Coturnix japonica: one gene and its partner. The protein of the gene in region 1 binds, or shares a complex with, the protein of each later gene. Links are inferred from orthologs where the notes say so. Each region holds a gene or a part of one and is shown on either strand. Other genes may lie near its edges. The genes, in order: ANXA2 and S100A10.

What was found.
Region 2: the proteins of ANXA2 (region 1) and S100A10 are in contact, whole or in part, in a crystal structure (PDB 4FTG), measured with the Homo sapiens proteins. The link is inferred for Coturnix japonica from reciprocal best matches to the Homo sapiens genes ANXA2 and S100A10. Residues at the interface, in NP_001002857.1 of Homo sapiens: Val4, Glu6, Ile7, Leu8, Lys10, Leu11, Ser12, Leu13; in NP_002957.1 of Homo sapiens: Phe39, Gly41, Phe42, Asn45, Gln46, Ala51, Lys54, Ile55, Leu79, Ala82, Cys83, Tyr86, Phe87, Met91.

Annotation. Positions count from the first base shown.
Region 1 is NC_029525.1:4,218,075-4,220,583, forward strand, and holds part of ANXA2 (annexin A2), read left to right. Parts: intron 1-94; coding exon 95-154; intron 155-489; coding exon 490-583; intron 584-929; coding exon 930-1,025; intron 1,026-2,005; coding exon 2,006-2,064; intron 2,065-2,509. UniProt on the Homo sapiens protein: Calcium-regulated membrane-binding protein whose affinity for calcium is greatly enhanced by anionic phospholipids. It binds two calcium ions with high affinity. May be involved in heat-stress response.
Region 2 is NC_029540.1:2,466,793-2,471,354, reverse strand, and holds S100A10 (protein S100-A10), read left to right. Parts: upstream 1-1,483; 5' UTR 1,484-1,607; intron 1,608-3,423; 5' UTR 3,424-3,480; coding exon 3,481-3,612; intron 3,613-3,799; coding exon 3,800-3,961; 3' UTR 3,962-3,999; downstream 4,000-4,562. UniProt on the Homo sapiens protein: Because S100A10 induces the dimerization of ANXA2/p36, it may function as a regulator of protein phosphorylation in that the ANXA2 monomer is the preferred target (in vitro) of tyrosine-specific kinase.

The DNA of each region.
Region 1 (2,509 bases):
CCATGTAGCAAATAGTGACTATGATTAGTGAAAGAAATATAATAAATTGCTTGAAATCTATTAAAGTTCTTAATCTTGCTATTCTCATTTGAAGGGCAAAAGATGTGAAGATACCTCTGTGATTGATTATGAACTGATTGACCAAGATGCTAGGGTAAGTGTTAGTAATGGCCATTACATGTCTTAAGTTGATTAAACTTTGGGGGATATTCAGAACGCAAATACTGTGAAAAGGAAAAGAGTGTATGAAAGCAGATGTGTGTATTTCAGATCTCTCTTGCTTAGCAACATGTGAATGATATCAAGGTATCTGCTGTTTGCAATCCTGATACCATTTTTCATGGGATGCTTACCCACTAGTGTCCCAAATGTGTGTCCTTTTGCGTGTCCCCCACTGACACAGCTCCTGTAGTGCTATTTTTCAGTAAGGAAATGGTCTGTGTTTGAAATGGCTTTTTGTGTGACTCGTGATTTTCATTCTTTACCCAGGAGCTCTATGATGCTGGTGTCAAGAGAAAGGGAACTGATGTTCCCAAGTGGATCAACATTATGACTGAAAGAAGTGTGCCACATCTGCAGAAAGGTACAATTTAAAAGACAGGTTTGCATTTTATCTCCTGTAAGAAGTGGTAACTCTTTTGTTTCACACGGCTTTCAACTAAGTGTGAAAAGCAATCAAAGAAATGTTATTCACACGCAAGTTGCTACAATTTTTTAAGTATCCATGGATATGTATAGATGTCTTTATTTTTACACATGTGCAACCACCGTTTAATGGTATGTCATGCACACTGAGAAGAAAAATGTTAGAAATCTAGAAAACAGGGCTGCATGTTACCTTGAAAGATCCTTTAGCTTTTTATTCTTTTTTTTACTTTTAATCATTCCTAGTTTGGTTTTGATGGGATCTGCTTTCTTTCTTGTAACAGTGTTTGAAAGGTACAAGAGCTACAGCCCATATGATATGTTGGAGAGCATCAAGAAGGAAGTTAAGGGAGATCTGGAGAATGCCTTCGTTAACCTTGGTGAGTTACCATAAAATAAAGACTGTGTTTAAATAGTGTCTTTTCAGTGCTCTTGTAGTGTGCTGTGATGAAAATAGGCCCAGCTTCCTCTGTATCACTAGAGGAGAAGGAAACTGGAAAGGCAGGTATTATTGGATATGTTTGTGTATTTCAGGTACTGAGAGGTGTCATACTTTGTCCCTCTGCAAGATATAAATCTTGCTTTCCAAATGAAGAGAAAAATGCACATGTTCTGTCATCTGTTGTTAGTTTCAATTTTGTCCAATACTGAAGCTTAATGCTTGTTTCCTCCATATAAAAAAGGCTGGAACTCTCTCTGTGCACATTAATAATTCAACATGGATAGACTGGAAAGCAAGCAGTGTGTGTGTGAGGGAGGACAGGCTGTGGAGGGAACCATAGACTAAGAAAAGAGCTAATTTTGCTCTGAGTTCTCTGAATTAAGGGTAAGTAAGGTGGGGAAATAAGGTTGGACTGGCTGCTATTGTGGATGAGATGAGAATACATGGGAAGCTGCCAGGTTTCACAGGATTTTCTTTAAGAGAAGAATCCATTTCAGGCTAAGGGAGAACCAAGCTGAATAAGGCTAGTGCAGAATCAAGACAGCTCAACCTTGAAAGGGACACTTCTCACCTATTAGCATACAATGAACGTTTTCAGGAAAAAAAGGTTGTTCATAGAAGTGAAAAATGGACTCAAGAGTGAATTGTGTGGAGGAAAGTTTGCCTTCTGAAATTATACTAGCAACAGAGGGCAACGTTTCCCAGATTGCAAGCATTCGTGCTTCGATCACAAGTGCAGCCAAACAATTCCTAAATAACAATACAGGTAGAAACAATTTCTCTTTGCCCCTTTTTGGGGAAACGTTTGGAGAATACCTTATTTTGACAGCATACCGTGCCTTTAAAAGGCTCCGAGATTCTGTGTTCTATTCTTCCATGTTCAGAATGTTTACCCATCTATCATCTCTCTCTCTTCAGTTCAGTGCATTCAGAACAAGCAGCTGTACTTTGCAGACAGACTCTATGATTCCATGAAGGTAAGAGAGATTGTGCATTCTACTCATTACCTTCTAACCATTGTTTCATCAGATTTTTATCCCTTAGATGGTTTTATTGGTTTTACTCATATGATGTGTAAATGGCATGTGGATAAAATAACGATGGCCTTGTATTATTCACAAGCATTCTTTAATAGCTTAGCTCATAGGCTATCTATTAATAAGCATCTGATATATAGAAGTACAGGGGAGAGTCATATAATAATTATCTTCATTAGATCAGTTGATCATAATTACCAAGGTTAGATGTATCTCTTGTAGGTGGACACAAGCTGATAGCAGAAAATCTGTTTATTGAAATGGAAAAATAAATAACTAAATTTGCCTCAAAACATTTTATTGAGAAAAGCTATGAAAGAGAAATACGTGATTACCATTAACATGAAGACCTCCTGGAGAACCAGAACTGTGGCTTCCAGTCTAA
Region 2 (4,562 bases), on another chromosome or scaffold:
CAGCGAGGAGATGGAAGGGGATGGCGGGGGTAATGGGGGGGAGAGGGTCAGCTTTTGGGGCGGCCTTTGGGGTGTGCGGTTGGGATGTGGGGAGTGGGGGTCATTTGGGGTAAGGGTGGTCCTGGGGGGGAGGGGGCTGAGAACCGGGAGAGCCCCATAAAGGTCCCATTTCATTTCAGGTCCCATTTCACTTCAGGGCGTTTTTTATTGGGGGGGGGATTAGAGCAGCCCTTCAGTAATGAGCTGCGCTAATTGAGCCGTGTCTGCGTGGGCAGGTGGTGGCACAGCGCCTGCTGGGTGCTGCCAGATACTGGGTGCAGATAGAGGTGATGGAGGGCACCTGCAGTATCATGGGGGTGAATTCAGCCCCAAAGGCATCGGGGCTGCTCTCAGGGGGTCACTGGCCCCTGCCCCAATGAGAGCCATCGCCCCATGTGCAGCCCTGTCCCCCTGCATGGCTCTGTCCCTGCAGGTGATCCTGGCCTTACAGGTGTGATCCTGGCCCTACAGATGTGATCCTGGCCCTATAGATGTGATCCTGGCCCTAGAGGGGATCCTGTCCTTACAGGTGTGATCCTGGCCCTGCAGATGGGATCCTGGCCCTGCAGATGGGATCCTGGCCCTACAGATATGATCCTGGCCCTGCAGGTGATCCTGGCCCTAGAGGGGATCCTGGCCCTACAGATGATGTTGGCCCTATAGGTGATCCTGGTCCTACAGATATGATCCTGGCCCTAGAGGGGATCCTGGCCCTACAGGTGATGTTGGCCCTACAGATGCGATCCTGGCCCTGCAGGTGATCCTGTCCCTAGAGGGGATCCTGGCCCTACAGATGTGATCCTGGCCCTACAGGTGATCCTGGCCCTACAGGTGATGTTGGCCCTATAGGTGATTCTGGTCCTACAGATGTGATCCTGTCCCTGCAGGTGATCCTGGCCCTACAGGTGATCCTGTCCTTACAAGTGTGATCCTGGCCCTGCAGGTGATCCTGTCCCTATGGGTGATGCTGGCCCTATAGGTGATCCTGTCCCTATAGGTGATGCTGGCCCTATAGGTGATCATGGCCCCAGATGTGCTCCTGTCCTCCATGTCCCCATACACAGCCGTGACTCCAAGCGCAGCCCTGTCCCTACAAGTAATGGCCGTGTCCCCAAAAGAAACCCACGTCGGTCCCTCAGTACGTTCCTGTCCCCAAAGCTGTTTCTCACAGCTCTCAGTGCCCACAGCTCCTTGGTGGCCCTGTCCCCAAGTGCAGCCCCGTGCCCGGGGTTAGGGCCACATCCCTGAGCCAGGTCCCTAAGAACGGCCCTGATCTTAGGGATGGACGGGCCTGTACCCAAAGGCGGCCTCGTCCCCAGGCGCCCCCTCCCCAGCGGTGCTCCCCTCCCCAGGAGCCACCAGGTGGGACACGCGTTCAGGTGACACATAGTGGCCGGGGGGGGCTGATAGTGGCCGGGCAGGAAGGGGTTAAGGCTGAGCGCTGCGGGCGGGAGCGACTGAGTCAGCCCCAGGCCCCCCCCGGGTCCCCCCCCCGGGGCGGTCCCGCCCCCTCCGTGCCTATCCCGGGCGGTGCCACCGCCCCGCAGTGCCCCGGTCTGCGCCGTGCGGTGAGTACCGACCCCCCCCCTCCATAGGACCTCTCCATAGGACCCCCGCCTCATTTGGGTCCCTTGGAACCCAGCTCCTCCAGGCATTGACCCGCAATGGGGTGAGGACCCTTTATATAGAGGACCTCCCTACACCCTTAGAGAGAAGCCCTATTCATAGAGGATACCCCCGTCCCACCCCCTCCATAGCAGTAACCCTGCTCCATCATAACCTCCATCTGGAGGGGGGGGGTCCCATCCTGCACCCCCCCCTCTTAGGAGGTCCCGGCTCTTCCCCTCACCCCATATCACCCCACAAAGCTCGGGGTCCCCCTCATTCCCTCCCCCTTCACTCCATAAACTTTGAGGGCTTTCCACCCGCACATCACCCCATAAGATTTGCTTTCCCCCCCCCCTCCCATACACTATCCCATCACCCCATAAACTTTAGGATCCACCCCCACCCCCCCTTGAGATGCTGCAGCTTTATTTCTATTTATTTACTTATTTATTTGGGGGCTGTTGGAACAGGGGAGAGTTTAATGCAAAGGTTGGGACTCTGCCATTATTTTCCACTTGGGGTGGGACCCCCCCCTCCTTCCTTTTCCCCCTTTCCTCTTCCCCCTTTGCAGGTATAGAGGAGTGGTCCCCAAAACCAAACTGTGTGTCCCCCCCCTCCCCAAAGCATTAAAGCTGAGCCGGAGGGACACCCCAACGCCTCACCCCCAGGGTGGAGTCTCCATTCCTGCAATGGAGTGGGGGGGGGGGGGAGCAGCTTTGGGATGTGCCCCCCCCATCCACGATTGTAGGGAATCCAGGAGGGGCCCCACCCTGGGAGGAGGCGCCGTGACTCAGTGTGCCCAGGGCGGGGGGGTCCCGAGGGTGTCCCATAGGGAAGACCGGGGCGGGGTGTGTGTGTTGGAGGGGGGGGTTCAGAGGAGGGACACCGCAGCACATCACACCCGGCCCCGCCTCGCGGCCGTTGCCCGGAGCTGAGTCACCACGATGGGACGGAGGGCACGGAGCCCCACACACCCTATGGAGCCCCACACACCCTATGGAGCCCCACACGCCCCTATGGAGCCCCACACACCCTATGGAGCCCCACACACCCCTGTGGAGCCCCACACTCCCCTATGGAGCCCCACACTCCCCTATGGAGCCCCACACGCCCCTATGGAGCCCCACACATCCTGTGGAGCCCCACACACCCCTGTGGAGCCCCACACTCCCTATAGAGCCCCACACTCCCCTATGGAGCCCCACACACCCTATAGAGCCCCATATACCCCTATAGAGCCCTACGGAGCCCCACACACCCTATAGAGCCCCATACACCCTTATGGAGCCCCACACGCCCTATGGAGCCTCATACACCCCTATGGAGCCTCATACACCCCTATGGAGCCCCACACACCCCTATGGAGCCCCACACACCCTATAGAGCCCCACACACCCCTATGGAGCCCCACACACCCCTATGGAGCCCCACACACCCTATGGAGCCCCACATACCCTATAGAGCCCCACACACCCCTGTGGAGCCCCACACACCCTATGGAGCCCCACACACCCCTGTGGAGCCCCACACACCCTATGGAGCCCCACACACCCCACGATGCCTGACACGCCCCACAGAGACCCTCTGAAGCTCCATGGAACCCCACAAATCCCTTCTGACCCTGCTTCTCCCCATGCAGACCTGCAGACCCTCCTGATCCCTTCCAGCCCCTTTAGACTCTACTAAACCACGCAGACCCCAGTGAGACCCAACTGGACCCTTCCAACTCTGCTGATCCCACACCTTAGACCCCACTGTATCCTTCTGACCCCACAGACCCCACTGAGACCCTCACAGGACCCTGCTGACCCCACAGACCCCACAGCAGCCACCATGCCATCCCAAATGGAGCACGCCATGGAGACGCTGATGTTCACCTTCCACAAATATGCGGGTGACAAGAACTACCTGAGCAAGGAGGACCTGCGTGCCCTGATGGAGAAGGAGTTCCCCGGATTCCTGGAGGTGAGAGGTTGGACAGTGGGGTCACACTTACCCCACAGCCCTATAAGAGCTGGATACCTTGAGGCGGTGGGGAACAGAGCAGGGTCACACCTACCCCAGGGTTCTATAACCTGGAGGAGGGGAATGGGGCACAGTGGGGTCACAGCACCTACCACACTATGAGGTGCTGACCCGCTTCTGCCCCCAGAACCAGCGTGACCCCATGGCTCTGGATAAGATCATGAAGGACCTGGACCAGTGCCGGGATGGCAAAGTGGGATTCCAGAGCTTCTTCTCACTGGTGGCTGGACTGACCATCGCCTGCAACGACTACTTCGTGGTGCACATGAAGCAGAAGGGGAGGAAGTGAGAGACGGCCCCGCCGCCCCAATAAAGTGTTTTGTATGACCCTGCTGTGGCCTCTGCCTTGGGGTGGGTCATCACTGGGGGGTTCCCATCCCTGCATCCCCGTCAGCACCGGGTCCCCATCGCCATGGGAATCCCAGGCACAGATCCCCATCGCTGTGGGGTTCCCATCCCCATATCCCCATAATCAGCACTGAGTCCCATTGCTGTGGGGTTCCTATCCCCAAACCCCCTTCGCTGTGGGGTTCCTATCCCCATATCCCCCATAATCAGCCCTGAGTCCCCATGTCCATGGGGTTCTCATCCCCAAACCCCCTGTGCTGTGGGGTTCCCAACCCCATATCCCAATTAGTCAGTCCTGAGTCCCCATATCCCCATAATCAGCAACCGAGTCCCATTGCTGTGGGGTTCCCATCCCAACCCATCACTGTGGGGCTGCCCATCGCCCATCATCCCCATTAAATCAGCAACCGAAAGTCCCATCCTCTGCTGAGTCTTTCCATCCCCAACCCCCTTCACTGTGGGGTCCCATCCCCATATCCCCCATAATCAGCCCTGAGTCCCCGTGTCCATGGGGTCCTCCATCCCAAATTCCCCTTCCCGGT